Linked DNA regions of Arabidopsis thaliana. The protein of the gene in region 1 binds, or shares a complex with, the protein of each later gene. Each region holds a gene or a part of one and is shown on either strand. Other genes may lie near its edges.

Region 1 (16,794 bases):
GTCTCTTAACGTAAACGCAGAGCAGAGGCATGGGATAATGCTAGCTACTTCACTGTCAATTTTCACATCTCCCTTTTTTTATATTTTATTATTGTAGAGAAATAAAAATTATTTTGTTAGGTAGTTGATGACAATTCCGTTACATGGTTTTGGCAATTTCGTTTTCTCAAGAAAACTCTAGTCTGTTGGATTTATTGCAGTTTTTGCAGATTTTCTCTATTCTCTTTTATTACTTCTTGTGTTTTTTGTTTTATTATGTCTCTACTTTCGACAAGTTTATCTTTCTTCTTCCTCTTCTTTAAATGTGTAATGCAGTACATTTGATTTGGCCTCTATCACCTACCTCAATGGATCTTTTGTTAACAGATTGCATTAATGGTGGTTGAGTTCATTTTTCATGGTTTAAGTAATAAAAATACTTAAACAAAGGCCAAGGAAATACTATTTTGTGAAAAATGATCCAATAAACTAGGCCTGGGCAAAAAAACCGCTAACCGATTAACCGAACCGAACCGAACCGAAAAACATGGTCCGGTTTGGGTTTGGATAGCTTAAAATAACTGGCTGGATATTATATGTCTTAGATTTCGGTTTCGGTTTCGGTTAGGTTCGTAACCGATAACCAAAGGATAACCAAAGCATATATGTATGATAGATAATATATCACATATATTGTATGTATTAACACTTAACTATGTTTTTCTCTTTATTAGTTTGCAAGTTGAATTTCGTGAGTTGTGAATAAGGTGTTTTAATATTATGGAGAGTATGGACCATCTTTGTGAGTTGTGAATATTTCTTTTTTTTACGTACGTTCTATATCGGTATTGGTCAAAAATTTTGGTTGTTTTGGTTTTTAGTCGGTTATTTCGGTTTTAGTTTATTTATGGTTACCAAGTTTAATATCCAAACCGAACCGAACCGAAAGATATCCGAACCGAACCAAAATTCTTCAAATATCCAAATGGTTCTTATATTACTATAACCGAAATAACCGAAACCATGCGCAACCGAAGCGAAACCGAATGGTTAACCGAATGCCTACAATAAACATTGTTCATGACACCTTTTTTATTTGCTTTTCTGTGTGTTTTACGAATTTTAGTATGAAGAATTCATTTCCATTTTTGCTCTTTTTGGCTCATAATTAATAACGAAGAACATAAGATTGAACAACGACATGAAGAAATCCAAGAAACCGCGAAAAACCTCTATTCATGTTTCGAGAGAACACTGAACATGTCTCTTTCAGACGAGTAGAAACTCAAGCAGTACTCTCATAAGAACAATACACAGCCCAATGGCTCTCTCTCTTTCTCTCTGTCCCTCTCTACTACACACCAAAATTAGAACAATGCAGACAAAGATTAGTGACCAGAAGCAGCTAACTTGGGAGGATTTTTGCCTTCCAACTCTTTTGGTTAACTTAGTAAGTATCAGCCTTTAGTTTTTGTTAGACTCCCTTTGGAACCAAATCCACATCAAAAAGCAGATGGTTGGGGACTTGGGATGATGCAGGTTCTTCCACGAGGAAGACGGGCTTTTGCTCTGCGTTTTTGTCCAGGGTTGTAAGACTCATAGTTATTATGATGAAACTTCCTGAAATGCTAGGTTGAGTTCGAGCACAGACTTGGCCACCAAACCTCCTCTTCTACACAAATTCCATCACATAATCATTTGAGCCACATAGATTCTTACACAATTAATGAGAATTATGGATTCTTCAGACGTTTACCTTGCTAGAGAGGGAAGGCATGCTTTGACTTTCTCTAGCTCTACAAAGCAACGGCTGTAGCGCTCGATCCTATATTGCAGTAAACATGTGTTGTTGAGTTCCAAGAGAGTATGCTATCAAATTTATCACGCACAATGGCTTATAGATATGCACATAAGGTTAAAAACATGCAAACCTTTGCTCAGCCTCGATATCTACACCAACAGATGCTGGAGCTGACAGTGATGAGTAAATTGGTGACCCATACAGTCTGACAAGCTTCAGCAGCAAATCCAGGGAAACGCTCAAATGCCTAAATATAAGATATGGTGTAGCAAACACTGTGAGAACAAATCAAGAATTCTTAGTCTAATGTACTATATCTATGACCATAAAGATCAAGCCTATTAATGCATCCATGAGGCATGATAAGTTTAGAAAGACGACTCTGCCATTTTTTAAAAATCAGAAAAGCGAGTTCTTACTGATCCATGCCGCTCCCTAAAAGAGCTGTTAGAAGGGGAAGAAGGGAGGTACAATTATCCAGTGTCAAAATCTCATTTCTCTCGGTTATTATACCCAGTACGTCCGCAGTAACCTGTAACCAATGAATAAGAAGATTGGCGTGAGCAGATAATCTTTTTCATATATCCTGCTACTGATACAAAAAGAAGATACTTACAGCATTATCAGCCATCTTCTCTATCGAGCCTATCGAATTTTTTACATCATTCCTTTCCCAATATCTACGAACTACCTGCAAATTTGGTGAATCAATTTAGGACAGAATAAATCAGGAGTCTTTCCAATCCCTAACTCTTTGCGAAGCTTCTGACATCTCAACCACCTATAAAATCCACCAACATAAGTAAACAAGGACCAAAATTTTCAATAAGCAGAAGAGGAGAACCATGTCCAGCGTTTCACTCCCAGCTAAAACATGCCAAGTGTTGAAATAGTAATTCTACGCATGCTAAGTGGTCGTGCATAAGCATATGAAAACTCTAATAAGTATTCAAGGTACTAGTCTAATTAGGGCTAAGCCAACAAAATTGTCACAACGTGACTGGTTTCACGTTACCTGTAACTTAGCCAAACGAGACTGCATAGAGCTGACAAATTGATTGTGCTTTCCCATTATGTCTTCAACAATATTTTCTTCAGAAGGAGAATCGATCCCTTGTTCAACTGGCATATGGTTCCCTCTCTGCTTGAACTATATGAAAGGAAATACAATATCTATTATCTCTGGATCTCAGAGGAACATGAGCAAAAGCATGACTAGATGTGTAGTTGAAAATTACTAAATCACAAAATATTATGTCTATTAAGATGTTATGAAGGCAGTACCATTTGAAATTGTATAAATCAAATGCATTAATTTCCTCTTTGTCCGTAACTTTCTAACTTTCCTCTTTTGTGGCAATTTACAGTCAGTGTGTTATTGCCTCAAGATCTCAAGTTGAAAATAGTAAGGCTATTATACCATATTTGAAGGGCGGATGTTTGGAGCAGGCATATTTCCACTTGAAAAATTTGAAACAGGACCCTCGAAGTTTGAAAATCTTCCTCTCCTCTCCCTATTTATGACGAGTGACTGGAATCTTCCTGATATGATAAGACACATGAATGAGATTCGCTTCATTTGCAAAAGAAAAGATGAAAGCTGGGCTGAAGAATCACCTCCTTTCTGACTTTCAGTGGGGCTTGGGTCTCTATTTGATCTGTGGCTTACCAAGTCATCTGAAACAATGACTAAAGCTTAGAACTGAGAATATCATCTATCAAACTCAACACAGGTACGTCATAGCAACCAATAATCTTAAACACATGATTCTTTCCACTATTTGCATGTTTCACTGGAGCAACTTCATAATATTAACCCTACAGGCCACATTTTAGGGGCCAAGGTAGTGTAAGACTACCAGCTGACATTCATATTAGCACTGAAACAGGCAAATATTCAAAAGGACAAAAACATACAGTTTTCATCGTGGTTTCGTGGAGGTGACCCCATCCGTGACCTTGAATTACTCCTGCCATATCTCTTGTATCTAAAATCATTAATGCTTCGCTCAGTTGCACCCCGCATGCCAACCTTTCCACCAGGAAGTGTACCCCCATCTGGTATATTATTTGGTTCAACTGGCTGAGACTCAGACATTTCAAGAACCGAAGCGTCTGGCAGATCAGGGTTATTTCTGCTGCTAGGTGACCTTCGGGAATCAGCCGCCTGCAATGAATACGGCATGGTTCTTGCAATTATGTCAAGTTCTGCTCTGGATTCAGTAGCCTGCTCTATTCTAGGGTCTGCTCTGGGGACAATCACCGGAGCAAAATCTGCTGCCTTATTGACAGGATTCGCCTTTGGGTTAGCTTTTGTAAAATTCCTCCTTGACGTTGCAGCATTAGAGACGGCTGTTGAAACACCCGAAGTGGCTTTTGATACATTGGTCGAACTGACCCTATGAGGAGTGCCTGGTAAACTTCCTGTGGCTTCAAACAGCAGACAAAACCAGAAATGGCATATCATTTAATCAGTGCTAAGATTAAGTAAGAAGAAAAGAGAAAAATAATAGAAGCAAGCATACATGAAAACGTCCTTGACTCTTTAGAAACGTCTGAATTTTGAGAAACTGACAACCTCCCGAGAGGCTTTGATTCCTTCATCGAGGACTCTGAATTTTGTGATGTTGATGACCTTCCAATGGACTTTGTTTCTTTTGTCGAAGGATCAGAGTTCTGAGAAACAGATAATCTTCCTAGAGACTTTGTTTCCTTCAATAAAGGATCTACATTTTGGGAAACGGACAGCTTCCCGAGAACTGTCTTTGAGTTATTATCATTGAGAACTACTGGATCTCTTCCTGAGCAAGATCGTTTCTCTGGATGACCATTTGATTGCGCAGTGTCTCCAGCCATACATGGCTCAGTACGCTGACCATGCATTTGAAAATGAGTTGGTTCGTAAAGATTACTACCAGCTACAATTAAACAAAAAGAAAAAGATATGTAGGGAGAGAGGAATACCGAGAGATCTACAACCCACACGCCTACACAACTCTGATTGTATGAGCAACCAAGAAGCTTTCCCTCGTGAACATTCATATCTGACAATCTTGACCATCCAACATCCACTCCATCATGACATCTAATTGGCTCCCATGAGAAAATCTACGATTTGCACAGGATTAAACCAAAGGAGTGAGGTAAGAAGAGTAGGAATGTGTATTTTGAAAGCAAATGAGTAAACATAAGAACGAATCCTTCAAAAGATGAGTTGTTCAATTAACATATATCTAATTTAAGAATCTACATACTGCATATCAAAGTATAGAAGAATTTACCTTGAGACTTTCTTGCAATCCACAAAGCACAGTCTTTCCATCTGGATTGAAACTCAGGCAACGGACCCCGGCAGTCTAGCGAAAATGAGAATATTAAAGGTAGAGGGAAAATAAAATGTCACCAATTTGACTTAGCGTAAAACAAGTTGTACCTCAGGTCCACCAGAACCAATCAGCTCGAATGTTTCCAGATCCCAGAATTTTACAGTTCTATCAGCTGAACCTGTTAGCACAGGCAAAAACAGAATGCTTCAAATATTTGTAATCACACTAATTTTACATATTCCATGTAAATATTTAGGTGAACGTTAACAGAGAGTGAGAGAAGTAGTCATTATTAAAACGTCGGCATTCTATTGTTATCTACACAACACAGCACCATTCTGAAAATATCTATGTTACACACACCCTCAATAATATGACCAAAGAAATGAAAAATACTTTAGATGCATATTTACTTCCAGATCTCAAATCACAGAGCTAAAAAGATAAGATGGCCACAAGAGTTTCAATTACATAAAAAGAAGATGACGCCATGACACAGGGATCTATATAACTGGTTGGGCTGGGCTGGTAACCGCAATACAGTTGTGATCAGACACTCTTAGCCTAGAAGTTTTATTTTGTGTTGGTGTTAGAAATTTTTAAGAGTAATACAAACCTGTTGCCAGTAGGAATTCATGAGGATGAAAATCTAGGCTTTGAATTTGCCCTTCATGACTCTTAAACTCGGTCAGCAGTTTTCCAGCTGTTAAATCCCAAACCTGGTAAAGACAAGCTGCATATCAGATCCATTAACACACAGAAAGATAAAAAAAAAGGTTCCCGGTAAATTGCTTTTCAAGATAACAATACAGTGCGCTGAGAGAGGTAAAGAAGCAATAACCGAGAGAGATGAAGCATCCGAAATAGTTGGCCAGGGTGGTCTATGTGGGTTTTAGCAAAATGCAAAAGAATAGTACGTCCTAAATACTCTCATATAGCATACTCAGCTCAGGTGCAGAGAGGTAACACTAAATAGTCGCAAGTTCTCCTCCACACTTAAAGGGCAATGCTTACTACAGAACGTCATTCATGAGATACATACAAAGAGAATTAGAACAAAAGCTTATTCCTACCAACTCTCGAAAGCCAGTTCATAGTCTATAACCAAAAGCGCAGTTTCATTGCTCCAAATTCTCCCAAAGGTAAATCCAAACTAATTATGTCAACTAAGCAGCTGTATTTCCCTCCACAGTAGAGAAGATAAAATCACATACCCAGAACTGAAAAATGACTAGTGACATGAAAGCAGCTACCAACCTTAACAATGTTGTCCTCTCCTCCAGATACAACCCAGCGACCATCTGGGGTGAATCTGAGTACATTGACTCCTCGCGTGTGACCCTTGTAAGTATGGATGCAGCCCTTTTTTCGTATATCCCATATCTTAAGATTTGTGTCTAGTGAGCCTGACGCAAAAAACTCACCAAAAGGGTGGAAATCCACTGAGATGCAATTGGACCTGTGACCAGTGAGAGTCCTGACAACTACTCAACAAAGCAAGTGAAAGAACACGTAAGTACTCACAGAAGTCAAATCGAGTCCAATAAGAATGGTCTCTTGGAACTACAAAACTTACTCTTTGCCTCCTCTAAATCCCAAAGTTTGATAGTACCACTAGCAGCTCCTGCTGCAACTAAGACCTCCGAAGCATCAAACGTCACTGAATCAATTCCACTTGAGTGCCCATACAAGCTCTGACAACAAACAAGCACAAATGAGATACTCAGAAAGAGTGAATCCCATAGAAACACTCTACTAACTTATAACCAACACATAATGAAACAGTAGACCGAGAACTGACCAGAATGGCATTGGGCTTACCAATAGCCCAAAGATTGACCTTGTGATCTTCACCACCTGTTACCAGAACCCTAGAAGACTTCCTTCCGATCTTAAGACAATTGACAGCAGCAGAATGTGCCACAAATTCCTCTTTAAACCACACAGAAAGTCAAGGCTAAGCAATAGGTACCAGATAGAGACTCTAGTCAAAACTCAAACTTGACTTCATTCATAATAGTCTTAAATTTAAACAGACAAGTTTCTCGAAAGGTCTTAAATTAAATTACTCCACGGGGAACAAATGCAAACATGAAAAAAGATGAACACAGACAGATCTCGTGCATATCAAAATAAAAGCAGTAGATCAAACACGGCACTTGTGACACAGAACAAACCCTAAAAATAGAATCTCAGAGAAAAATACGAAAAGAATCAAAATTGGTGTAAGAAAAGGATACGAAGCTTATAGGCTCGCTTGGTGGTCATGGCGGAAACGAAACCCTTGAAGTGGAGGACATTCAAATTACACTCTCAACAACCATACCAAAACCAAAATCTCGAGAAATCGAAGAAAGCAAGCAGCCCTCAAGATCTCCGCTTTCTCAACCGCTGAACCAATCTGAAAGCTCAAACGGGAAACAGATCAAAAACCCAGAAATCATTTCTGGGAAAGATACAAAATGAAGCCTTTAGGAAATGGAAGCCGTACCCAGCAAAAAAGGGCTTAACTTTCGTCTTCCCAAAACGCCAATCTCACTCTGCTCCACGAAAACACACAAAATTTGGGGAAGTGAAGAAATGATAAAGGAGGAATTTTTTTGAGGAATACTCGGAACTTCGTTGTTGTCTTAGATAAGCGGAAAATCTAAGGAGAAGTTGAAAGTGATTTCTCTTTTCTCCAATGGCGAAGTAAAAAAGGAGACAGAGAGAGATTGACAGAGAGCAGAGCACAAGGAAGAAGAAGAAGAGAGAGAGAGAAGCAAAAAGGGAGGCGCAGAGAGAGAGAGAGATACTTTTTTAACCTTTGGCTACGTCTTCTCTCTTTTAAGTTTTCTCCCTCTTCTCTCTATTTCAAATTCCCAAAACAATTTTTTCATTTAATTCTTTGAGTTCCTCATTTTTCATGCATCTTGCTACTATTCACATTTACATTTACAAGGAAGAGTACAAATTATTAAACTTTTACCATTGGTTTCTTTTTGTCAGAAACCATCATGTTTGTATTTTGCATCTAAAATGAACAATAACAATTAATTATTCTACATAAGAGTATATTCAGTGGAAAATTAAAAAGAGTATATACATTCTGATTGTAGGAACAAAATAGTACTAGTGCATATCCAAAAATAGTTTTTAATCAATAAAAGACTTAAAAAAGGGGAGACATTGCACAACTGAAATCGCGGTTTGCAAATTAATCCTTAAGAAAATGTTTTGACCGAAATTTTATATAATGGAATTATGAAACTACTGTCGGTGCTATAATGGAAAATGGCGATGTAATCATTAATAGGTGATTATTGCTTAGATGTTAAATAAATTTATTATCATGGACCCTTGTCCAAAAGTTACAAAATTTATGTACAAGTGTTTCAGTTCTAGTATCTCTTAACATTTAAAAAACTCGTCCAAAACAAATATGCAATGATCATATAACTTATCGGTTATTTTCCAAAGTATTTTTATACAATATTAGTGATAACGTACTGTGAGGATAAATAAGTGAGCGATCCAACAGCAAAATGTAACTTTGTATCCATAATGAAAGAACAGTGACAGTCAGTAGATAGACCAACGTTGGATAGACAAAAAAATTATGGTGAAAGGTTTGGCTTGAAAGTAACGGACTACCTAATTGCATGGGGCCATGAGCGATCCCATACATTTTACAAGTACACAAACTCTAACTCCAAAAACAAAAGATTTTTTTATTTAATAAAGAGTTTTTTTTTGTGAAACCATGATTTCAATGTTGCAATGCTTCTTGAATCTTGACTTTAACCAAAAATTCATAATTATTTTGAATGGTTAATTTAATCATTTATCCGTCGTCGAATTTTTAGAATTAGGGACTTGATTTATTGGTGCAATGTTATTTAAGTAGAATTGACATTTCACATTACATTAAAATATCAGGAACACCTATTTTAAAATCATGTTTTTTATATTCTCTTGTTAAAGAAGAAATTCATTAGGTGGTAGAAATCAATTACGTAACATCAAGAAAACAACTTTATGGATAGATGTTAATTAAATAAACATTCGGTAAGATAAAGTTTTTATGTGGAAGATGATTGTAACAACTTTTAAAGACAAGATTACAGTAACTACAAAATTTTGAAATAGAAACCTAAAATTACGGACATATATAAGCGTTTTGACTTTTTAGAGTTTAAATTACTTTGTCCCTCATTACATATACTTTGGCTGCTTGCTTTTGAAAGCGCACAATGCATTAGCTAATTAAAAAGCTAAATCAATCATTGCCACCATGGTCTGGCCTGGCCTTGGCCTAGATGTGCTGTCACCAAATCTGAGTTTTGTAATCCAATTATTGTATTATTCATATGCAAGCTCGAATCTCCATCCACTCCAATTTTAATACTCCAATCTTTATAAAACGTTGAACTTTGGAAGACGTGATACATGGACGTGTTAGTACGTTAGAGTTGATCAAACAACCATAATAATATTCCTCACAAAATCTAAACATATTACTAAGATTTTTTTTTTAGTTTTCTTCTGAGAATAATGACAGACTCGTGATATCTATGATGATGAACCTGTCTACCTTAGGGCATATGTATTTGACTAAGACGACTCGCTTCTCTCTACCTAAAATATCTTGTTTTAAAGTTTATGAGAATAGGAATAGCTAAACCGATACGGGCCTAGAATCTGACCCACGAACGAAAAACGGGCCTAATCTGACCCACCAACTAAACATAAGGATGACATATTTTGGAGCACTTTCCTTTAGAGACTTTAAGCTTATATACTCTATCAACAACAAAAGCTTGAAATTCACAAGGTTTCAAAGACTAACAATCGTAGCTCAATCATCTCCTAGATCAAAATGCGATTGATGACGACTACAAATCTAGATTGCCTTCTCCTCTATCTCACTAGGACGAAATGCGACCACGAGCATAAAGATCATCACCAATACCACAGCCACGAAGCTGCTGAATTCACAAATACTAGAAAAGACAGAAGAGGAGAATGACAATAGTTTACCTTTGATTCAAAATCAAACATATTTTATAAGCTAAAGACACATGAACCAAACAGAGACAACACAGATTTGCATATAGGAAAATCATCTGAATACCTAAGGAACTGTTTCTCTAAGACTCCTCAAGTACGATCCACACTATGTAACATCTCAAGTGCTAACTCAATCTAGTAGAGAGTCTGAGCTCCACTCCCTAATCACCCTTACCATCATGACCAAGATCCACCCTTTCAATTCAAGATACTTCAATGATACTAGTCTTAAACAGCAAACATAGTAAACTAGGTGTTATCCCAAATTGGATCTTGATCTTGCTAATGGAATCATTTGAAACAACCGCAGCCTAAAATTGCCCTTATTAATCATCAAGAAACCACATCTAGATCCAACTTTTCGTTTCTTCCAATCTATCGAACACTAAGAAACCAATAACAAGATCAAGCCAATGAATCAAATCAACATAAATAGAGAGTGAAGAAACCCTTATGTATATGATTGCTAAAGGTTGAATACACATCACACTACATACAAATCATTCTCCATTCCCAGGTTCCAGTAAACACAACAAACAAAAACAAACACTGAGAAAGGAAAACAAAAATTGTCTTTCTTGTTTCATCACTGATCAATGAACTCGAACTCATCTTCCTTAAGATGTGAAACAAATTTAACAAGACCACGACCTTCAATTTCTTTGAAGAACTCAATCTTATAAGGAAGATTAGCTGAGATTCGTTTCCCTTTCCAAACAGCAACGTAATCTTTGAGTTTACCTTCCATACCTTCTAAATCAACCTCTGGAACTCGATTTACATGATAAACCTTCAACGGTGCAGTTACTCTAACCCTAGATCCTATCTTCGCCTTCGCTTCCGCTTCGATTTCTTCCTCTGATGACGGTGAGGACGAAGGATTGGCGTCTGCGTTTATCGAATCTGCGGATTTTATCGCTACATCGCATCGAATCGTGGTTCGAGAAGTTTTTCTTGAGCTTGAGTGTTTGATTTGAGATTGAGAGGTGAATAGCGAGAGAGGTGCGACGATGCAAGATTTGAGAGCCATGGGGGTGGCGGTAGCAGTAGTGGCGGAAGCGGATAGACAGTCGTGAGAGGACGGACGGCGAATGGCGGCGGCGATGGCCGGTGACAAAGCGATTTGGCTACTCATATCAGTCCGAGTGAAGAAAAAAAAATGTGTGTGAAGAAGATTTGTGCAAGTGGAATAAAACTGATTCGTTTTCTTTTTTCTTTTTTCAGTGGGAAGATATAATTAACATTTTACTATTACGACCTTAATATTTTGCTTTACAATTTTAAAAATTATAAAAATTTTGACCATTGATATATATGTTTATATATATCATTGGATATAAGTTGTATTTTATTTTATTTTTGTTAATAATAAATAATTTTGATCTAAAATACAAATAATTTTCAAAATGTATAGTTGAAGATGGTCAGTCCACCGGATAAGCCACTAAAATTAGATGTGTTATTATTTTGAGTTTTGACTGACCAAATAAAAACGAAAGATTATGGAGTGAAAATCAAATGAAAGAATGCAAATTAACCTCATGGCTCATGCACATGGTTTACTACCGGATCATTAGTGTGATAGTGTCTACTATTTCCAAACGATGGAAATTTTTTATCATTATTAGTTGGAAGAATTGATGCTAAAATATGCATTTACATTTTTTTAATATGTCAAAATCTTCATCTACAAATTTATATGGATGCAATTTAATATGATTTTTTTTCGAATGAAACAAATCAAGAAACGTGTAAATGATAAGCAGACAGAAAAAAAAACATGTGAATGAAATGGATAATAACAAAGGTTTAAACTTTAAGAAGTAAAAAGGAAAGGGAGAAGAAGACCCAGCAATATAAAGAAGTCAGACGTGTGTCCTTTTTCACGGGATGAGGAACGTGCGGCTTCTACTATATTCATCTGTGAGACTCTGATGCTTCAAAGTTCCGAGTCAGACAGAAAGAATCTCTATCAGTTAAATATCTTCGAATAAAATCTTCTTAATCCACAAATAATATCACTTTAGAAGTTCACCTAGTTAACCTAGTCCAAAAACCTCGTTACTTCAAATCATCTATTTCGTTATTGATCGACTAATCCAAACAAAGAAATGGAAACACACAAATCGTTGTAGAAAACACGTACACAGTACATATATAATTCAAAACACACAAAAAAGGGCAAAAGAATATACAAAGGGTTTTAGAGTTATAGGGAAGTTATGGCACAAAAGGATGTACTTGGTATACTCTCTCATGTTTGCTTCTCTTATCACATAGATGGTACTTACCGTAAACTTGACGCCGACAAAAAACAAAAAACAATAAAAATGAATTCCAGATATATAAACATCCAAACTCTCTCACCATCCTCACAATTTAGATGAGATTAATTAACTATGAATGTCGTCCAGGAGCGTTACCGATCAGTCTGCATTGTTCAGGTAGCATTGTCGATATCACTTCTCCATGCAATGCAAACAGTTCCCCGTCTATCCCGCAACTGTCATGCGTATTTTTCCCCGCCTTTATCTTCACTGATTTCACCTGCAATTGTCATGCATTTGATCAACTACATTCTATTCTAGACTTATAATATTTGCATTGAGTTTGACCGTTTGATTAGCATTTCCTAGCACATAGCGAGTTGCAGGTTTCGTAATGTAAGAAAATAGGAAAGATAATTTACCTTTACACACTCAACATACGGAAGAGAAAGGTGTCGACCTGTTTGCAAAAGTATAAAAAACCTCAGTAACCTCAGTCTTCCACACCCATGAACCAAGAGCATATCCATTGTACCATCATCATGTTCTGAATTGGGAGCCACGACTTGGGAACTTTGCACAGTCCGACAAGCATGGTTACAGACCATGATGCCGAGGAAATGTCCCTTTCTCGAAACCCATTTATCCTCAAATATTGGAGTGATGCTCTGTTTCCTCAGTCCTGTCTCTATATCCTCAGGAGGACCAGGCAGCTCGATCGAATTTTCTACATCCCAAGCAGACGGTTCAGTGTCCCATTTGGGTCCTGCATCCCAGATTGGACCTGGATCAGATACAGTAGATGATATATCTTCCCTGTCTTGACCACCGGTATTCCCCCATGAACATCGAGTTGGAGGATCCTGCACGGATGTTAACCCCATCCATCCTTTATCCATTCTTGACTTTGATCTTGTCCTTGGCCAATTAGGGGTTGTTGACTGTGCTTGAGGATGAATAACCTCTGGCTCAGCCGTAACATCTCTTCTTCCAGAGGACAAGCGTTTCATTTTAGGATCTATTCCACGGACATATTCAGACGGCTCAGTGCTGGCATGTGTGCTGCTACAAGTGTCTAATTCGCCTACGCTTGGGGTCATTATGGAGTCAATACTTGATAAACTGGAGGCTCTAGGAAATCCTTCTCTGCTTGATCTCCTCATTACATCCGTGTAGAGATCTTGCATATCCACAGCTTCCTTTTCAAGTCGAATTTTGCCTTCTGCATCCTCTTTTTGTGCCGGAAGATATTCCACTTCATAGCTATACTTCGGCAAACACATGAACTTGAGGAATCCAGCAACAAAGTAACGCAAAGGACCAAACCGTTTTTGGTATTTTTCAGAGAGCTCCAAAACTGCAAATAGATAATGACAAGAAAAACCATGAAATTTAGTTATAGCAGGTGAATGCCACAAACATTATACAGTATTCATGAAGGTAATTATATGTGCAATAATCCTGACGTCAAACACGAGACAGCGTCCAATAGCTCAAACTAATACATCAAACACACACCGGAGCTGTTAAAGAAATGGAGAGAGATTTACAGCCTTTTGCACAAGTTCAATGTATTTGAGTTTATCCATGATACGTTTGAATAACTAGGCGATTTTCTGCTTCTAACTCATCATCAGAAGAGTGCACATTCTGCAATATTCTATGAAATTATGTGTCTTGGGAGTCAGCATAGTGTTCACACTGTGCCAGTTAAAATATTTAGAAGATAAACTGAAAAATTACAGTAAGGAAGATTTAAAAACTCTCCTCTAAAATGCATGAAAGATCTAAACAGTTGCAGACACGGTGAATGAAACAAAGAAGCTAGGAATACAGATTCAAACCTAACTACACTTGAGAAACTGTTTATCATTAGAAAATCATACAAGACAAAGCACACAGGTATCCTCACTTACCATCGCTAACAAAACCATAGTAGGAAACAGTCATTCCAAAGTGTATAATACCGGTATGAATCCATTCAACAGCAAAGACATCAGTAGCTGTTAGGCCACCCTAAACCAAAAAAAAAAAAATCTTTCACTGAGAAAATATTAATTAAGTAGAAGCTAATTAATGTTGGCGGCTGGATAAAACAAAGCAGGGACCAATAGGATTTTAGGCGGGGTTACCTTCACAATAGAGAGTGCTGCAGAAATAGGATCTCTTACACCAAGGACAGTCCAAACTAACGAGTTATCAGAACCAGCAGGTACTATTCCAATTGGGATAGAAACTCCTTCTTTCGGATTGCTTCGAGTAAGCAGACCATTAAGAACCTGAAACATTGAAATAAGGCAGGCCTTGAGATGAGAGTTCATTCCAAGTAAATAGAATCTAGGAGATGTTAACATCGAAAGCAGTCTTTTGAATCCATCTTAGTCTACCTAAAGAGTTCTACATCAATCGAAAAATCAATAGTGAAAGTTCTCATGTGTTTCAACTCGAGCAAGTATTTCCCTATAAGATGCATCCCAAAGTCCTCGCTCTGGAGGATTAGAGTATCTAAACTCTTAAATTATTCAACATGCTTGCAAAGTGGTGTGAGCACGCTGAAATAAGCCAATAAGGTTTCATTTTAATACCAAAATTGGTTCCGAAGTACGTTCAGGCACCAGGGCTTGTAAGCAGATAAGTAACCGGGAGTATGGTATAAAAGGAACATCACTTCATGAACTTAACTCCTAACCAAAATAGGGCGAAAAAATGAGTATAGTTTAGGAAAGGTAATTATCACACCTCATTGATGATTCCATCCCCTCCAACACAAATAATTCCTGGAAGAATTATTAAGAACTCGTAAGTAATAGTAGATATGTAAGATAAAATATATGCATATTAGAAGCTAGATATGTTAAACATATCATTAAGTGTTGGAACAAGTAGAGGTACCGTCAGAGCATAAGTTAATGTCGACAGTGGAAGCCAATTCTCTCGCATGACCTGCTTTAGTTGTTTTGACAACCTCCATCTTAATTCCGGCCAGCTGTGACAGTTCACAAAATCATAAACAAGATTAAAAAAAATGCATAATGGGATTGGAGAAATGGAAATGGTTCTCTAGGGTACCTAAAAGTGGAAATAATGTGATGATGTAGTACTACAACATCCAAAAAGAACAAAAAGATGGGAACGGTACCTTGAAAATTGGTTCCACGACATTATGGAAAACTTTGATAGATCGTCCATGTCCTGACCTAGGGTTCAATATGACAAGCATTTTGGGTGCACTCTTACACCTGAAGACCAACTCAGGAGGGGTATCAATGGGGACCGAAAATAACTCAGACGAAGCCTGTTTCTTTGCGACTAAAGGATGTGGCAAACAGTTGATAAAACATTGTTGATCTCCAAAACTGGCCACCCATTGAACGGCTTCTTCTACTGTAGGTGCGACAAAGCGGAAATCCTTGCGGCTTCTCTTTGGTTTCGTGAAGCAAGACAGGCCACAAGAACCCTTGCCAATTGGATAAGCATGCACAGTGAAATGCCTAAGACCAACATTGTATGTCACCTGGAAAACATAGATAAGTTTGTTGACTCAGTTCTCCAAAACACAGAGTTAATTAGTTCATTGCAAGGCCAACAAAAACCTACCGAGACAACATCGTTAAGCTGTAGCATGTCAGAACCCCAAACCAAAGCGCTGCTTGTAAGCTTTGCATCAACTGCTTTCTTAATAGAGATGTCCGTAGCGGCTGGTTGCTGTATCTCTGTTGCATCTTTTCCACTCGCAGATTTCCTCTTATCCAACACAAGCTTCCCAGCGTAAACAAGACTACCTAACAAATCTGATTTCTCATCCCCTCCACCAATATCGATCCGATGCTCATCAGGCTTCGGTTTCACCTGTGGATCATTAGTAACCTCACCACGTCTCGAAGATGCCTTCACCTTCTTATTTCTCTTTTCAGGGAATACTATAGGAGATGACTGCTGAGATCCACCCGTAGCTATTTGGGAGCAAAAACCTAAACGTCTAAGCGACTGTTGTGCCTGAGGAATGGCTACTTTCAAAGAAGGGTTCCGATTAACACCACTCTTCTGCATATCCGTACACTAACAATCTCTCTGCTCTTGAGTTCCGCGGACGAAACAGACGACAAACAGTGATCGGAAGGCATACACAAAACAAAACCCCTGATGAGCATAAACAGAGAAACCCAATCAAACCTCGTTCGAGCTGGTCAACGAACAGATTTTAGAGAGAATTACACAATTCTAATCCGTAGCTATACATCAGATCCATCAACGCGTTTTCAGGAAGAATTCTCCTGTAACAAAATTCATGTCCATGGATCGATTTATAACCAGCATTTGATGGAAATTCAATCAAAATAAGAACACTATACAACAGATCATGAGGAATCGG
Region 2 (13,940 bases), on another chromosome or scaffold:
GGGTTCGAATTGGAGAAAGCTTGGAGGATAAATAAGAAGAGGAAGGGTTAACGACATGGTCGTTAAATTTGGGGGAAGAAGGAGAGAACGAACGTCTTTTGAAATTAAAAGAATTGCAAATTGGATTAGAAGAGTGACACGGAATCGGATAATCTCGGATATAAATCCGATTATTATAATGCTGAAGAGTCGACGATATCAAACTACTCCCAGATATTGCGACCGCCATTCTCGACCCCTTTTCTCTCTTGACTCTCTGACTCTCTCAAGCAGAGCGACACATCAGCAACGAGGAAGAAGAAGACCAACTTGATAATTTTTTATTATTGGTTTTTCGTAAAACGAAAAAGCAATTCTTGCCACATACTATGTGAGTCACAATTTCTCCGTTGGATAATGTGTAATTAATGCTTTGTCTCTCTGTCAACTGTAATAAAAAGATAAAATATTCGAAGCAGACCAGATATTGCCTTGAATAAACCGGGGGAAAAATGTACATTCCACTACAATTAACTCGTGTTACCGACAAGAACAAGTCCGGTTTGAAAGAACCAAACCTGTCTACAACTAAACCGAACTAACACCGAATCCGGTTACTTGGTAATGATGAGAGACCGTGGGAAGACACTGTTTTATTTGACAGACAGATGAATGTGGACCATCAGAAAAATGTTACTACAGATTCGTGTGTCATATCGGTTAGGAGATGAATAGCTTGTCCGGTAGCTCTCCAGAACTGAATACCGCCACGGATTTGAACTGTAAATTGCCAAAAAAAAAAAAAAAAACTGTTAAACCGAAACAGACCAGATTTCTTCATTCGGTTTAAGAAAACCAAACTAAGATTAATAATTTTTTAATACCTTGTCCTGTCTATACTTCATGCGTATAGAGTTTAAGGAACATCCTTTGGTGTTAAGCTGTAAATCTTGCAAGGCGTGGACAGATGCTTTGAGATCGGAGGCTTTGTACGTTGTGTAATGCTCAAGAGTTGGATTCTGTTCATAAAATAAAGTAAACAAGAGTGAGATTCAAGATTCGCTGTGTTTCTTAATGAAGAAGATAGTTGGTCAATTACAGACCCAAGGGTGGCTTGATTGGTTTAATGTCCACTTGGCAAGAAAAACAGCCGAAGCAGCGATGATCGAAGGAAGGAACTTCAAGAAAGGGTAGTCCATTAACGTCAATTCCGTTAGGTAATTCGCCAGAAACTCCATTTCCAGACTTTGATTCTGCAGACAAATTACCAACAAAGTTTCAATCTTTCTGCTACATGTTTTATGAGCAATAGATATATCTGATCTGATAAAAGAAAAGCACATTACCGGGAAAGAAACTTGAGCTGCTCGAAGAAATCTCCTGCAAAAATGAATGAATACTCTGAATCACCAAAGACTAAAAAGCAACAACACATGATAAAGCATTTGCACTGTCTGGTAAGATTACCTGAGGAATGTTTTTGAAGTGGGGGTGTAAATTTGAAAGCTAAAATGCTTGAGTACTTGGCTCTCCATTTCCAGGACCTGATCTCTTGTATAAGTGTTATCCGTGATGAAGCAGAACTCCTCAATGCGTGGCGCATGGATTTCCTCATACTTCCTGCAAGAACTCTTTTAGATGTTGTGTTCAGACCAGAGCATTATTTGATTTTAGGTGGATGAGGAACTTACGAAGCAATGAGCATACAAGTGATGCCAAGCAATTGAAGTCTCTGTCTTTCCACATAGTTTCCATGGAGAAACCAGTCTATGAGATACACTGTGAGGTAAAGAGTGTCAGGTACAAGTGTGTATTCCTCTGAGACCTGAAATTTTGAGTTGTGAGAAGCTACACAAAAAGACTTCATAAGTAAGCAACAAACAAACTGGAAGTAGAGAACTAACCTCTACAAGCCAATCAACAAGAATTCCCCGCATTGTCTCAGTCACATCTCTTTGTGTTTTCTCCATAAAATCAGGAAATGGTCTTCGTTTAAGCTGATAAGTAGACAAGTCGTAAGGATTCAAATGCCTCAAATGCATCATCGTAAGATATCAAAATCCAAGGGATAAATACCTCAGCAACACGCAGGTTGTAGTAGATGTCAGGTGCATAAAGGCTACAGAGTAGAGGATCTTTGTCATCTGAATCAATGTCAACGAATTTCGGGCTACTTGCTCCACCACAACTTCTCTCAACTGTAAACCATTTGCAAGAATAAAGATGCATCAGAAATGTTATACATTGCCCACTCAAGCTTCAGTAAATGACCATTTATAAAATTCACCTGTCCCAAAGGGTCTTGGAGGCGATCTGGAGCTTGGCTTTGCGATAATGCTATAGGATGTTTCGTTTGTGCCTAAGCTTGTATCTGTAAAAACAGACAAGCTTGCTCCTGCTGAATTTGACACAACTTCTACCTTTGCATCTGTAACTTGTGAAGTAGCCGAAGAAGATGCCACCTTGGAAGAAGAAGAACTCTGTCGTCCCTTCTTTATCTGCTTGATATTCTCCACCTAAGTAAAAAGAAGAAGCAACAATTGTCAGCAAAAACATACTTCTTGTCATATAAACTTAGCAATTCTAAAATGCTGCATTGTGTAGTTAACAACCGCAACACTGAAGCAACTTGTGTAAGAATTCTCGCAGGTAACATTAGTGATATCCTTAAGAACAGCTCGCTTCTTAGGTGCATTGGCTTTCTTCTCATCCAAGGCTGTTCTTTTACTCTTTGCTCTAAGAACCCGTCCCTGGTTCTGTGTTGTAGCAGCCACTTCAGAAGATGTTATCAGCTTAGAAGAAGCACGCAGAGCAGAGGCAAGAGCACGAGTTACAGGGCGACCATGGATTGGTATAGAGTTTCCAGAAACAGCATTCTCCTTCCCCATGATTGAAACCCTTTGACACGATCCAACCCTTTTCTAACGTTTGGGACTTAGCACCACATTAACTCTCGATCTGTGAATTTGAAGTCAAGAGAAATCGAAGATCAATGGCATGAAGATTAAACAAAACAGAGAGATATATATTTATCTATGCAGAGTCCAATGCATATAAGATGTTTGGAGAAATTGTTTATTCTAAACGAGGATTGTTTATCTGATCATTCATGACTAGACAAATAATTGCAACACGTACTTGTTGTTTAAGTTCGTCGAATCAAGTTCCAAAGTTTCAAGTCAGATTCAAGTTGAAAGAACAAGTCTTTGTGAATTACAATTTACTTGTTGACAAAAACTTGAAAACTGTAATGCAGAAAACCCTCAACGCTCGAAAGAAAAAGTCTTAGCAATTTTAGCAAAGACGGGAGCGACTTGCGCAGAATTTGGAGATAATTAAATTTGAAGAAAAAATTAGTAAAGTTTCTAAATTTCTTTCATGGGTTTTTATATAAAAATGTTTATCCATAAGAAATAGGAACAAGAAAAGGAACGACTAGATCAAATTTCTTCTGAGGATAACGAAAAGACCCATGATTTAAAGCTGCAAGATCTCCCAAAAAAACCTATCGATCCGTTCGTTAAAAAAAAAAGTAATCAAAGTCACATTTTCTTTAATCCAAGAAAAATCCGAGTGACCCATGAACCAAAAAAGCTTCAAAACCAAGATAAAGTTTCAAGAAACCCTCCAGGAGAACCGCCTCAAAAAAAAGAACAGAGGGTCGGCATAAAAATAATATCATCACATTTCACAAGCAAAATAAAACAGAGAAGATGGAGATAGAGAGACTAAGATAGAAACTTACTACGCTCCAGAAATTTCTTCAAGAAGAAGAAGAAGAAAAAAAGTCTTTTTTTTTTTCTTTATTAATTTGGGGAAATGAGCTCTACGAACAGAAAAGATGGGAGCTTGGGCAGATCGAGAGAGTAAATGGGTTATAGTCAATTCGCTTTTATGCAAAGGGACTGTCTCTGAGAGTGAGCGGGATATAGAATGGTTTAAAGATATAAGTTTTATATTCTTTTCTTTTCTGTATATAAAAATAGAAACTTTATTTTTATTAGAGAAAGAAGTGTTTGTTTATGTGCTTATAACGCAACTCATTGACTGTTTGACCATAAAACAAGGGGATAAAGAAAGAGCTAACACTACAGTTTAGTTTGCTTGGGATTTTTTTTGATAAGTAATTTGTGGTTAATCTTTTCAATTTGGTACGTGATTGAACATAGATTTTTCTTTAGATTTTGGTAACTAATCATTTACCTTATTTTCACCCATTGCTAGTTTGGGTTCTGTGTCATTTCCATTTCTCCATTAACCTGTTGTATGTAATTAATGATGCAGATTTTGTTTTTCTTCTCTCTGTTCGAATGTTTTTTTTATATTTACTTTTTGTATTAAAGTAAAAGAACGATAGAGAGGAGGAATAGTTACGTTTTCCAAGAAATGTGTCATAATTTATTTACATAGATAGTAACAGCGCATTTTTTAAAGACAGTAACAGCGTGGCTATTCATCCAAAGGTAAATAAAAATGATTAAATTACAAAAAACTCTGTTCAAATTTTGAAGATTTGAAGAAAGATTCCACCATTTATTTTTTTAATGGTAAAGTTTTTAACTTTTGAATAGAAAAACTAACTAGTAGTAAAAAAAAAAAAAAAAAAAAGACCAAATGCACGTTTACCCCAGAATCACTCTTCTGATATTTATATTTACGTTTCTATGTGTCTTTTAATATTCCTTAATGCTTATTTGGACTCCACATGCATGTTAAGTAAGAATCCATCCATAAATTCTACACTATCCTTTCAAATTTTTAAACATTTTGTAGAAACTTAAAGAACCCGTTTCTATTTCTATAGGATTTGCTCCGTTTTAAAATCATACTTACGACGCTCCCGTGGTCTTTGTATACTATTGAGTAAAAAGATAACATGCATTATGTGATACTAACACTTTCTTTATTTCGTGTAAAACAAAACTTATGTCTAATTTTCTCATCGGTTACTTTGACCAAATCTACGTGAAATAAAACTTGGAGAGTTTTTTCTGCGATTAAACGTTATATACAACACTCTTTTTAAATAATACTAGGAGTTATGAAAACTGTATTAGATCTCATTGTACTTGACATAATCAGTTTAGAATTAAAAAAAACTTAATTTAAAACAAAAAGAAAATATGATAATAATTACTTTTGATGCTTAGATCCGCAGGATCCACTTAGAAAAAGAAAAGATACTTAGGACATGAACAAATAATTAAGTGGTGGAATCTGCCATTTCAGGTCTTGTTATGTTTAAGACCTTGGTAATCTTGTATGTTATACATTATTTCACATCTTACCTATAGCCGTTTTATCAAAATATAGCAGAAGTTATTTTATTTTTTTAATATTTTTTTGTTTGATATATTTTCTTATTCAGAATTATCTTTGTTTTCAAACTTAATTATTTATTTTTGCTGTTGTTTCGCGTTTGAAGCAATTCAATTACGAGTTTTAACAAAAACAAAAAGAAGAAGTTCGAAAAACTATCAGATTTGAAATGAAAATGACAAATCTTTTAAAGTTAAAGTTGAGTCTATTTTGTTCGGTAGTACGTGAAAGGGCAGTAAAGTCTACTGATTAAGTCAAAACTTTCATATGAAACTTTGATGTTAAGTGATATAATCGAAGAAAGCATCACAAACAAACAAAAGTATCCTTGGGATAATTATTTATATACAACGCACGAGTAATTCAAAAGCTACAGTGAGGAGCTATAACCAATAGTCTCACTTACCACATGGGAAGTTACATAATCAAAGCTCATGGATTTCAAATTTAGGATATATACAGTATGTTCTATTGTATATGTATTGGACTAATGCGTTAAAGCTGTTATAGTGTGAGAAGGACGTAACGAGAGGTCTTCGTGGACCTAATAATAATAACGTTTTACGGTTTTATCCAAAGACCAAAAAGCTACTAGATCTACGATTCAAACCAACACGCATAAAGATGAAAATTAAATTTTAAAAACAGATCTATAATCAACATGTCATGTTTGGTTGGTCTATTTTTTTCAAGTTTTTGAACACTCCCAACTTTCCCTCCACTCCTTTAGTTTACCACAATACCCAATCTATCTAAACATGTAACCACCAAACTCCAAATAATTTGCATGGCATGTTTGAGTAATGTGATCCATGAATTTGCTTCTTTTGTAACAACAATGCTTCTTTTGTAACAACAACAAAAATGTCTCGTGGAATATATGTTTGTGCCATTCGGATGAAAAATGAATTGAACGATGAAAAGGGCTGAAGAAAAACAAAGGGTTCGATTACCAAATATATAGAAACATGAAGGGCCTTTTATGTGATTTATTAGGGAAATGATAAACGCAATCAAGAAAAATAATTCTACGTTTGAAACGTGACGTTTGATTCTTTTTCTCAGGGCAAAGGCAAAGCAAATCCTCTGGTTGATCAGTAACATGTGGCAGAGGAAGAGGAATCAGACACTGCAAGGAACACACACGAGAAACGTCTCTCTCTTAGTTCTGGTAAAGTTTTGACCTCTCTCTCTCTCTTTTTCTATCAGAATCTGTAGAGTAGTAATGGATTTTTAAAGCTGGTTGATAATAATTTTTGGATCTAAGTAACAAAGGAAAGGCGTTACTCTTTTTTTGTTCTTTTCAAATTGGCGTAAAGTAAAGAAACTACTTTTTATTTATTTTCTCTTAAATAGATTAGATTATGATTACACCAAAAATAAAAAAACATGAAGTAAAAAACAAGGGTAGGTGAAGAAGAAGAAGAGGACAAAGAACAGGCGTGCTTAAGCAACGCTCATCTCTGTTTTAGGTTTTTGTCAACGATCCCTTTTGCATTAGGTTGAGAATTAATTCTGAATTTCTTGCATACTAGCCAGTGTGTATATATAATCAAACAATTCGATCCTAATTGGAAAATTTCTCCATCAGGTTCAGGTCTCGATCGAATTGATTTGAAATGGGTTCGTTTGGGATGCTTTCGAGGAGAACGTTGGGCACTGATATGCCCGTCATGGCTCAGGTCAAACCTCGTACTTCTCCACTTCCATTTTCATTTGATTTGATTTGATTGGTCTCTTGTCTTTTTTTCTTTAAAGTGAGAAATTGTTGGGGTTTTGCGTGCAGATTCGGAGTTTGATGGCGGAATTGACGAACCCCATGTCTCTCGCCCAGGTTTTGCCCTCTCTAGAAATGTGTGTTTTATTTATAATCTAATCTAGTTTAGTTCACAAAAGACTTGGGCTTTCGTGAGTGGTCACCTTCTTTGGCTATACTTTGTCTGGAGTTTTGTTTTGTCTGCAGGCTGATTCTTTTGCTCATGTGCTTTTCAGGGAGTGGTGCATTGGCAGCCTCCTCAAAAGGCCTTAGAGAAGGTCAAGGAGCTTGTCTGGGATCCTATCATTAGTTCTTATGGCCCCGATGAAGGTCTTCCCGAGTTGAGACAGGCTCTTCTCAAAAAGGTAATCGCACCGTACTGAACCATTCTTCTAGCTAGCTCTGGCAACCTTTCTTGTATCCAATAAAGTGACCACTTTTGCTGCTCTTGAATCCAATTCCGTGACTGAGCTTGTTTTATTTTTGATTCCTTGTCTTGTTCTGAAGCTGCGTGAAGAAAACAAGCTAACCAATTCACAAGTGATGGTTACTGCAGGTGCCAATCAGGTATAACCTGTCTTTGTTTACTCTTTTGATTGCTCTTCCTTCTGTTTTCTTCTACTCTCATACTCTGTTTCTGTTTTTGCATCTAATGTAGGCGTTTGTGAACCTTGTTATTACATTATGTGATGCTGGTGATTCGGTTGTCATGTTTGAGCCATACTACTTCAACTCCTACATGGCCTTTCAGATGACAGGAGTCACCAACATAATTGTTGGTCCTGGCCAGTCAGACACTCTCTATCCTGACGCTGGTACCTCCTTGATTCTGTATCACGTTTTTCATGACTTAACATAGCTTTAGTTGTGACCAGTGAATCATTTTTGTTCCAGACTGGTTAGAGAGGACACTGTCTGAGTCTAAACCGACTCCGAAAGTTGTAACTGTTGTGAATCCTGGTAACCCAAGTGGCACCTATGTCCCTGAACCGCTGCTTAAGAGGATTGCTCAAATATGCAAAGATGCAGGGTGCTGGCTGATTGTAGATAACACATACGAGTGAGTTTCTCATTTCCTTAATTCCTATGATGTCCAAATTGAATGTAGTAATAAGCGGGGATTTGAAAATCGCAGGTATTTCATGTATGACGGTTTAAAACATTGTTGCGTTGAGGGAGACCACATTGTTAATGTCTTCTCTTTCTCTAAAACCTATGGCATGATGGGTTGGAGGCTTGGATATGTGAGTGCTCGATTCAATTCTATTCCAAACTAAACACTGGGATTGTCTTATAAAAAGGTTTGATGGACCTGCAGATAGCTTACTCAGAGAGATTAGATGGGTTTGCAACAGAGCTTGTGAAAATTCAGGACAACATCCCAATCTGTGCTGCCATAATCTCGCAGCGACTGGCTGTATACGCATTAGAGGAAGGTTCTGGGTGGATAACGGAACGGGTAAAGAGTCTAGTGAAGAACAGGGATATTGTGAAAGAGGCGCTTGAGCCGCTGGGGAAGGAGAACGTTAAGGGAGGAGAAGGAGCGATATACCTGTGGGCAAAACTGCCAGAGGGACACAGAGATGATTTCAAGGTGGTGCGGTGGCTGGCTCACCGCCATGGTGTGGTGGTGATCCCGGGGTGTGCAAGTGGTAGCCCCGGGTATCTCCGGGTTTCCTTTGGAGGGTTGCAGGAGGTTGAAATGAGAGCTGCAGCGGCGAGGCTGAGGAAAGGAATAGAGGAGCTGCTTCACCATGGAATGGTGGAGTGAGACGTTGTTTAAAGAAGGGTCAAAAGATGGTTACTTTGCGTTTGGTTGAAGCTATATAGTTGTTTTAAAAAGAAATAAAAGAGTGTTTGTTTATTCAATAATCAATATAGCTGATTCTTCTTTACAAAGTCATTGTATTTGGGATGTTGTTACCAATGGTTGAATCCTTAACCCCTTTGGTGTATGTATATACTCTTTACTTATTCAAATGAATAATCCAGCAATGAATGCAAAAGCAAAAACTGGATCAGCTTTATTCGTTATGAGTCTTTCTCTAAATTCAAAAATTTAAATTCGAGTCTTATGATTGACGTTATGACTTGTGAGAAATTGATAATCTGGCCTTTTATTTGAAATTTTAATTTCTGAACCCAGAGGATAAATAAAGTTAAAATCGATGATGATTTTAGGCTTTATTGGTTTGAAAGTGGGCCGTAGATGGGCCCGAATCTAAAATATTTGAATCGAACCCGAATAAAGAAAGAGAGGTTGGATCATAACTACCATCGACGTGGCTTCCATCTTCTTCTACTTTGTCTTCCATCTTCGCCGACGAGTCACATCTCCGAAATCCGGAGCCGGAGAGGGAGAAAGAAGGAGAATTTGGGTTCTCCGAGATCGAAGCTCTTGCCTCGGAACCCTTGATTTTGTTTTGGAATAGGCTATTTTTTTAGTAAAAGAGGAAATGGTGGGAAGTAGTAATTCGTTAGCGGGTCTACAAGACCACTTGAAATTAGCGAGAGAATATGCACTAGAAGGATCCTATGACACATCTGTCATCTTCTTCGATGGCGCCATTGCTCAGATCAACAAGTAAGTAGCTCCTCTTATCTCTCCAGTCTTGAATCTAGCTTTTTTGTCACCCCTTTTGGCAATTTCTTCAAGCCCTAAGCTACTTTAATAGTTTCGTGTTGGATTGTATTGAAATGGGCTTAGAAAAATCTAGAATTTTGCAATGTTCACCGTGCAATGTCTGTGTAGACAGAGATAGAACACTCTTATGTGCTGCGTTAGTGGTTCTGAAGCTATGGTATACTGTTTTAGGCATTTAAACACCCTTGACGATCCTTTGGCCCGGACCAAATGGATGAACGTTAAAAAGGCCATAATGGAAGAGACGGAAGTTGTGAAGCAATTGGATGCAGAGAGGAGAGCATTTAAAGAAGCTCCCACTGGGCGTCGCGCTGCTTCTCCACCTATCAATACCAAATCATCCTTTGTTTTTCAGCCCTTGGATGAGTATCCAACTTCATCCGGTGGTGGTCCTATGGATGATCCTGATGTGTGGAGGCCTCCTACCCGTGATGTTACTAGTCGAAGACCCGCCAGGGCTGGTCAAACTGGTACTAGAAAATCACCTCAAGATGGGGCTTGGGCTCGTGGCCCTACTACACGGACCGGTCCAGCTTCCCGTGGTGGCAGAGGTGGGGCTACTAGTAAGTCAACTGCAGGTGCCCGCTCTTCCACTGCCGGAAAGAAGGGAGCTGCCTCAAAATCTAACAAGGCTGAGTCTATGGTAAGTTATATGTTTTTGCCTTTTGGTATTGCACAATAGAGAAGGTTAAACTTGAAAATTTTCCATCAATCAATATTGACTATGGCATTTCCATTTCCATTACTTTACTTTGGTGATAGACAGGATGTCATGAAACTTCGAAGTTGTTATGTTATAGTAGGACTGATGTATCAAAGATCATGATTTCTGTTACGTTTATGAATGTCTAATTCTGAAATCTGTATTTAGAAACTTTAGAGTCATGGCCATGTTTCCTGTGGTTATGTTGAGTCGGTAGTTTCCACCTATTTTCAACAACTAATAAAACTTTCGGCTTCCTCGTTGATATCAGAATGGTGATGCTGAAGATGGGAAGTCAAAAAGGGGATTGTATGAGGGACCTGATGAGGACCTGGCTGCTATGCTTGAAAGGGATGTGTTGGACTCAACTCCTGGTGTCCGTTGGGATGATGTTGCAGGTTTGTCTGAAGCCAAAAGGCTGCTTGAGGAGGCAGTTGTCCTTCCTTTATGGATGCCCGAATACTTTCAGGTACTTTGATTCTGCTCCATACGCTGTGAAATTTGGATTCTATATTACTATTATTAGACATGGAGCAATCATACAGAATAACAGTTTCAATTCATCATTTCCGTAGACTTTATATTTGATCTTCCAGGTATAGAGGATACTTAATTTGATTGTTTTTGTTTCCCTTCAGGGTATTCGAAGACCATGGAAAGGAGTTCTCATGTTTGGTCCTCCTGGGACAGGTAAAACCCTGTTGGCAAAAGCTGTTGCAACTGAGTGTGGTACCACCTTCTTCAATGTATCTTCTGCTACATTAGCTTCAAAATGGCGTGGAGAGAGTGAGCGCATGGTCAGATGCCTGTTTGATCTGGCTAGGGCATATGCTCCAAGCACAATTTTTATTGATGAGATCGACTCTCTCTGCAATTCTCGGGGGTAAATTTTCCTGACGATACTGAGATTTCGATACTGAAATGAAAAGTATTTGTAATTGGTGGAGGTGTGATGCAGGGGTTCTGGAGAGCATGAATCATCAAGAAGGGTGAAATCGGAACTCCTAGTTCAAGTAGATGGAGTGAGCAATACAGCGACAAATGAAGATGGTAGTCGCAAAATAGTAATGGTATTGGCAGCTACCAACTTCCCGTGGGACATAGATGAAGCTCTCAGGTTTAAATATTCTTTGAGTTAATGCCGTCTTTAGACTTGCTCTAATATAATGAAATTGCTGATTCTGGAGCTCACGTTGGTGCAGGAGGAGGTTGGAAAAACGTATATATATCCCACTTCCAGATTTTGAAAGTCGTAAGGCTCTTATCAATATCAATCTGAGAACAGTTGAGGTTAGTTGTGGATACATTGTTACAACACTCGCAAATCTCTCTACTGGTCCAACGCAATCAATTTAGCAATGAACATTGTCACTTTTCAGGTGGCGAGTGATGTTAACATTGAAGATGTGGCCCGGAGAACGGAAGGGTACAGTGGAGACGATCTGACTAACGTGTGCAGGGACGCATCAATGAACGGGATGCGGCGTAAGATAGCGGGGAAAACGAGAGATGAGATAAAGAACATGTCGAAAGACGATATATCAAATGATCCAGTGGCAATGTGTGATTTCGAAGAGGCCATTAGGAAAGTGCAACCGAGTGTGTCTTCCTCTGATATCGAGAAACACGAGAAGTGGCTCTCTGAGTTTGGATCTGCTTAATTAAACCCACTTTTTTTAATTTAGTGTCAAAAGATGTGTGCCTTTTCTTGTGTGTTGTTGTTTATTGTATCATTATTATTATTTGCCAGTCATTTAACATATTCTTATGTTTCTATATTCCAAACTTGTAAACCTCTACGAAAAAAGAAAAGGATTATATGATTTTCTTCGGTTTTTTGGCTTCAGACTTAGTGTTCATAATTTCTTTACTGTCTTAGAAGAAAAAAACCAGCAAAGAATCACCTTGGTCTTTGTATCTCCAATACGTTGCAATCATTTTGAAAGTATTTGTATATTTTGTAAATGATAGGGATTGAAACATCATCCTATCGTTGACCAAAAATTTCACTGCGTGCTATATAAAATACTATATATGTTACCCTTTAACTGATGAAAATGTAAAGAGACAAGGCAGCACCGTTTATCATCAGACCAGTTTCGAGAGTGTTCCTGCATCGTTGGGCTCCCTCCTCAATTTTGTCTACGTGATTATATATCATATCGTCTACAAACAAAATAAATACAATTCTATCATATGAATATGTGATCATCGATGATCGATCAATATATGTTTTCGAGGTGACGTATATAGTATATTTCCGTAGAGACGGCGAAGAACATGATATCTCTGCATGCCTCCAATCAAATCTTTACACTTCATCCTTCTTCGTTACTTGTTCAGTTGTTCCTTTCTAATCCCGACAACCCTTAATTTGTATTTCTATATTAGATCGAAATATCTCATTTGTGATAAATAAAATAAAAAAAATCAAAGAAAGCTATAGAGAAGCTGCGTGCATGCATGGGTTGGCGATGTTTGGCTTGTTATGTTTGGCTTGTTATGTGGCATTATCTGTATGTATATTACCCTAAATCACATCTACGACATTTCCCTCGATCTTCAAAATATGCCAGCAATCTTCATGTTTCCTCATATCTCTTAACATTGGAAAATGTCTTTTGACCTCTTTTGATGTATTTTAAATTACTTCGAGCTCATCTATATTACAAATCATTCATGGTGAATTATTGTCCAGCCAATAGAATAGAAATCTGAATATAATGTGTACCACATCTTTTATGTAATTTATACGATATTCTTTTTCCTGAGAATGATCAAATAACAACATGCATGAATTGCTGCCAGAAAACGTCAGATTGATCAGTTATCACTACAATTATCAATTAACTAGTAAATAGTATCAAAATGTACGTAGTGCCCATCTATAGCTAGCTAAGGAGGACTCCGGATGTAGAGAAAAGCTAAAATGTGACTTGCTAGAGTTGTATTATATTGAATTTTCTAAACTAATAGTATCTTTTTTACAGATAATAATTTCCGGAAAACCTATTAGATGTATAGATATAACAATAAGCATCGATACCAACCTTTTACTTCCAAAAAAAAATAAAAAAAAAATGCCAAGATGAGATAATTTTGTCAATTTCAATTAGTGGGAAAATAACAATTGTCGTGTTATTTTTGAACCAACGCATCTCAGTGAATGATTTCCCAGTTCTTAAGATTTTAGGACATACTTTCCCAGTAACATCTAATCCGTTTGGGCATAAACAAGACAATTTGTAGTTATGTACATTTCTTAGTGATGTGTGTTGAAAAGATATGAATCAATGAGGTCCGACATATTTTGTCAATACGTTAGTGGTGTTTCAAAATAAATTTTTAGTATATATATTAAAATAAGACCAAAGGATAGGCTTTAGTGGTGTTTCAGGTATAGTTTTAATAATCAATTCAAAATAAGTCGAAAGGATATGTAAGATAGGCGTTATTTCAACGTGGATCATTATCAACCATGTCAAAAACGCATTTCAACTCCTAGATGTGTTGTTAGTTATATATGTTCCAAATGGAAT

What was found.
Region 2: AT5G23430 (region 1) and ERH3 share a complex: the UniProt entries of both Arabidopsis thaliana proteins name them as parts of the KTN80-KTN1 complex.

What each region holds. Positions count from the first base shown.
Region 1 is NC_003076.8:7,892,489-7,909,282, forward strand, and holds AT5G23430 (Transducin/WD40 repeat-like superfamily protein), read right to left. Parts: upstream 8,076-16,794; 5' UTR 7,598-8,075; exon of another isoform or gene 7,508-7,597; 5' UTR 7,375-7,507; coding exon 7,347-7,374; intron 7,039-7,346; coding exon 6,908-7,038; intron 6,801-6,907; coding exon 6,683-6,800; intron 6,591-6,682; coding exon 6,364-6,590; intron 5,826-6,363; coding exon 5,723-5,825; intron 5,285-5,722; coding exon 5,214-5,284; intron 5,137-5,213; coding exon 5,062-5,136; intron 4,889-5,061; coding exon 4,745-4,888; intron 4,652-4,744; coding exon 4,306-4,651; intron 4,211-4,305; coding exon 3,698-4,210; intron 3,458-3,697; coding exon 3,398-3,457; intron 3,323-3,397; coding exon 3,201-3,322; intron 2,931-3,200; coding exon 2,796-2,930; intron 2,472-2,795; coding exon 2,397-2,471; intron 2,313-2,396; coding exon 2,200-2,312; intron 2,028-2,199; coding exon 1,911-2,027; intron 1,805-1,910; coding exon 1,736-1,804; intron 1,652-1,735; coding exon 1,585-1,651; 3' UTR 1,106-1,584; and 1 more. Other genes in the region: FTRA1 (ferredoxin/thioredoxin reductase subunit A (variable subunit) 1), read right to left, coding at 10,742-11,290; LCBK1 (long-chain base (LCB) kinase 1), read right to left, coding at 12,553-12,702, 12,845-13,779, 14,339-14,438, 14,555-14,701, 14,775-14,819, 15,162-15,199, 15,315-15,408, 15,562-15,936 and 1 more. UniProt on the Arabidopsis thaliana protein: May participate in a complex which severs microtubules in an ATP-dependent manner. This activity may promote rapid reorganization of cellular microtubule arrays.
Region 2 is NC_003070.9:30,203,621-30,217,560, reverse strand, and holds ERH3 (P-loop containing nucleoside triphosphate hydrolases superfamily protein), read left to right. Parts: upstream 1-9,292; 5' UTR 9,293-9,510; coding exon 9,511-9,638; intron 9,639-9,869; coding exon 9,870-10,341; intron 10,342-10,672; coding exon 10,673-10,870; intron 10,871-11,039; coding exon 11,040-11,284; intron 11,285-11,359; coding exon 11,360-11,518; intron 11,519-11,603; coding exon 11,604-11,691; intron 11,692-11,780; coding exon 11,781-12,062; 3' UTR 12,063-12,247; downstream 12,248-13,940. Other genes in the region: AT1G80380 (P-loop containing nucleoside triphosphate hydrolases superfamily protein), read right to left, coding at 1-229; CYCA2;4 (Cyclin A2;4), read right to left, coding at 700-759, 864-998, 1,083-1,232, 1,326-1,359, 1,447-1,599, 1,671-1,804, 1,884-1,976, 2,056-2,177 and 2 more; AT1G80360 (Pyridoxal phosphate (PLP)-dependent transferases superfamily protein), read left to right, coding at 6,918-6,980, 7,085-7,132, 7,291-7,419, 7,562-7,621, 7,713-7,869, 7,949-8,114, 8,190-8,298, 8,373-8,825. UniProt on the Arabidopsis thaliana protein: Severs microtubules in vitro in an ATP-dependent manner. Required for oligomerization of functional KTN80-KTN1 complexes that catalyze microtubule severing. This activity may promote rapid reorganization of cellular microtubule arrays.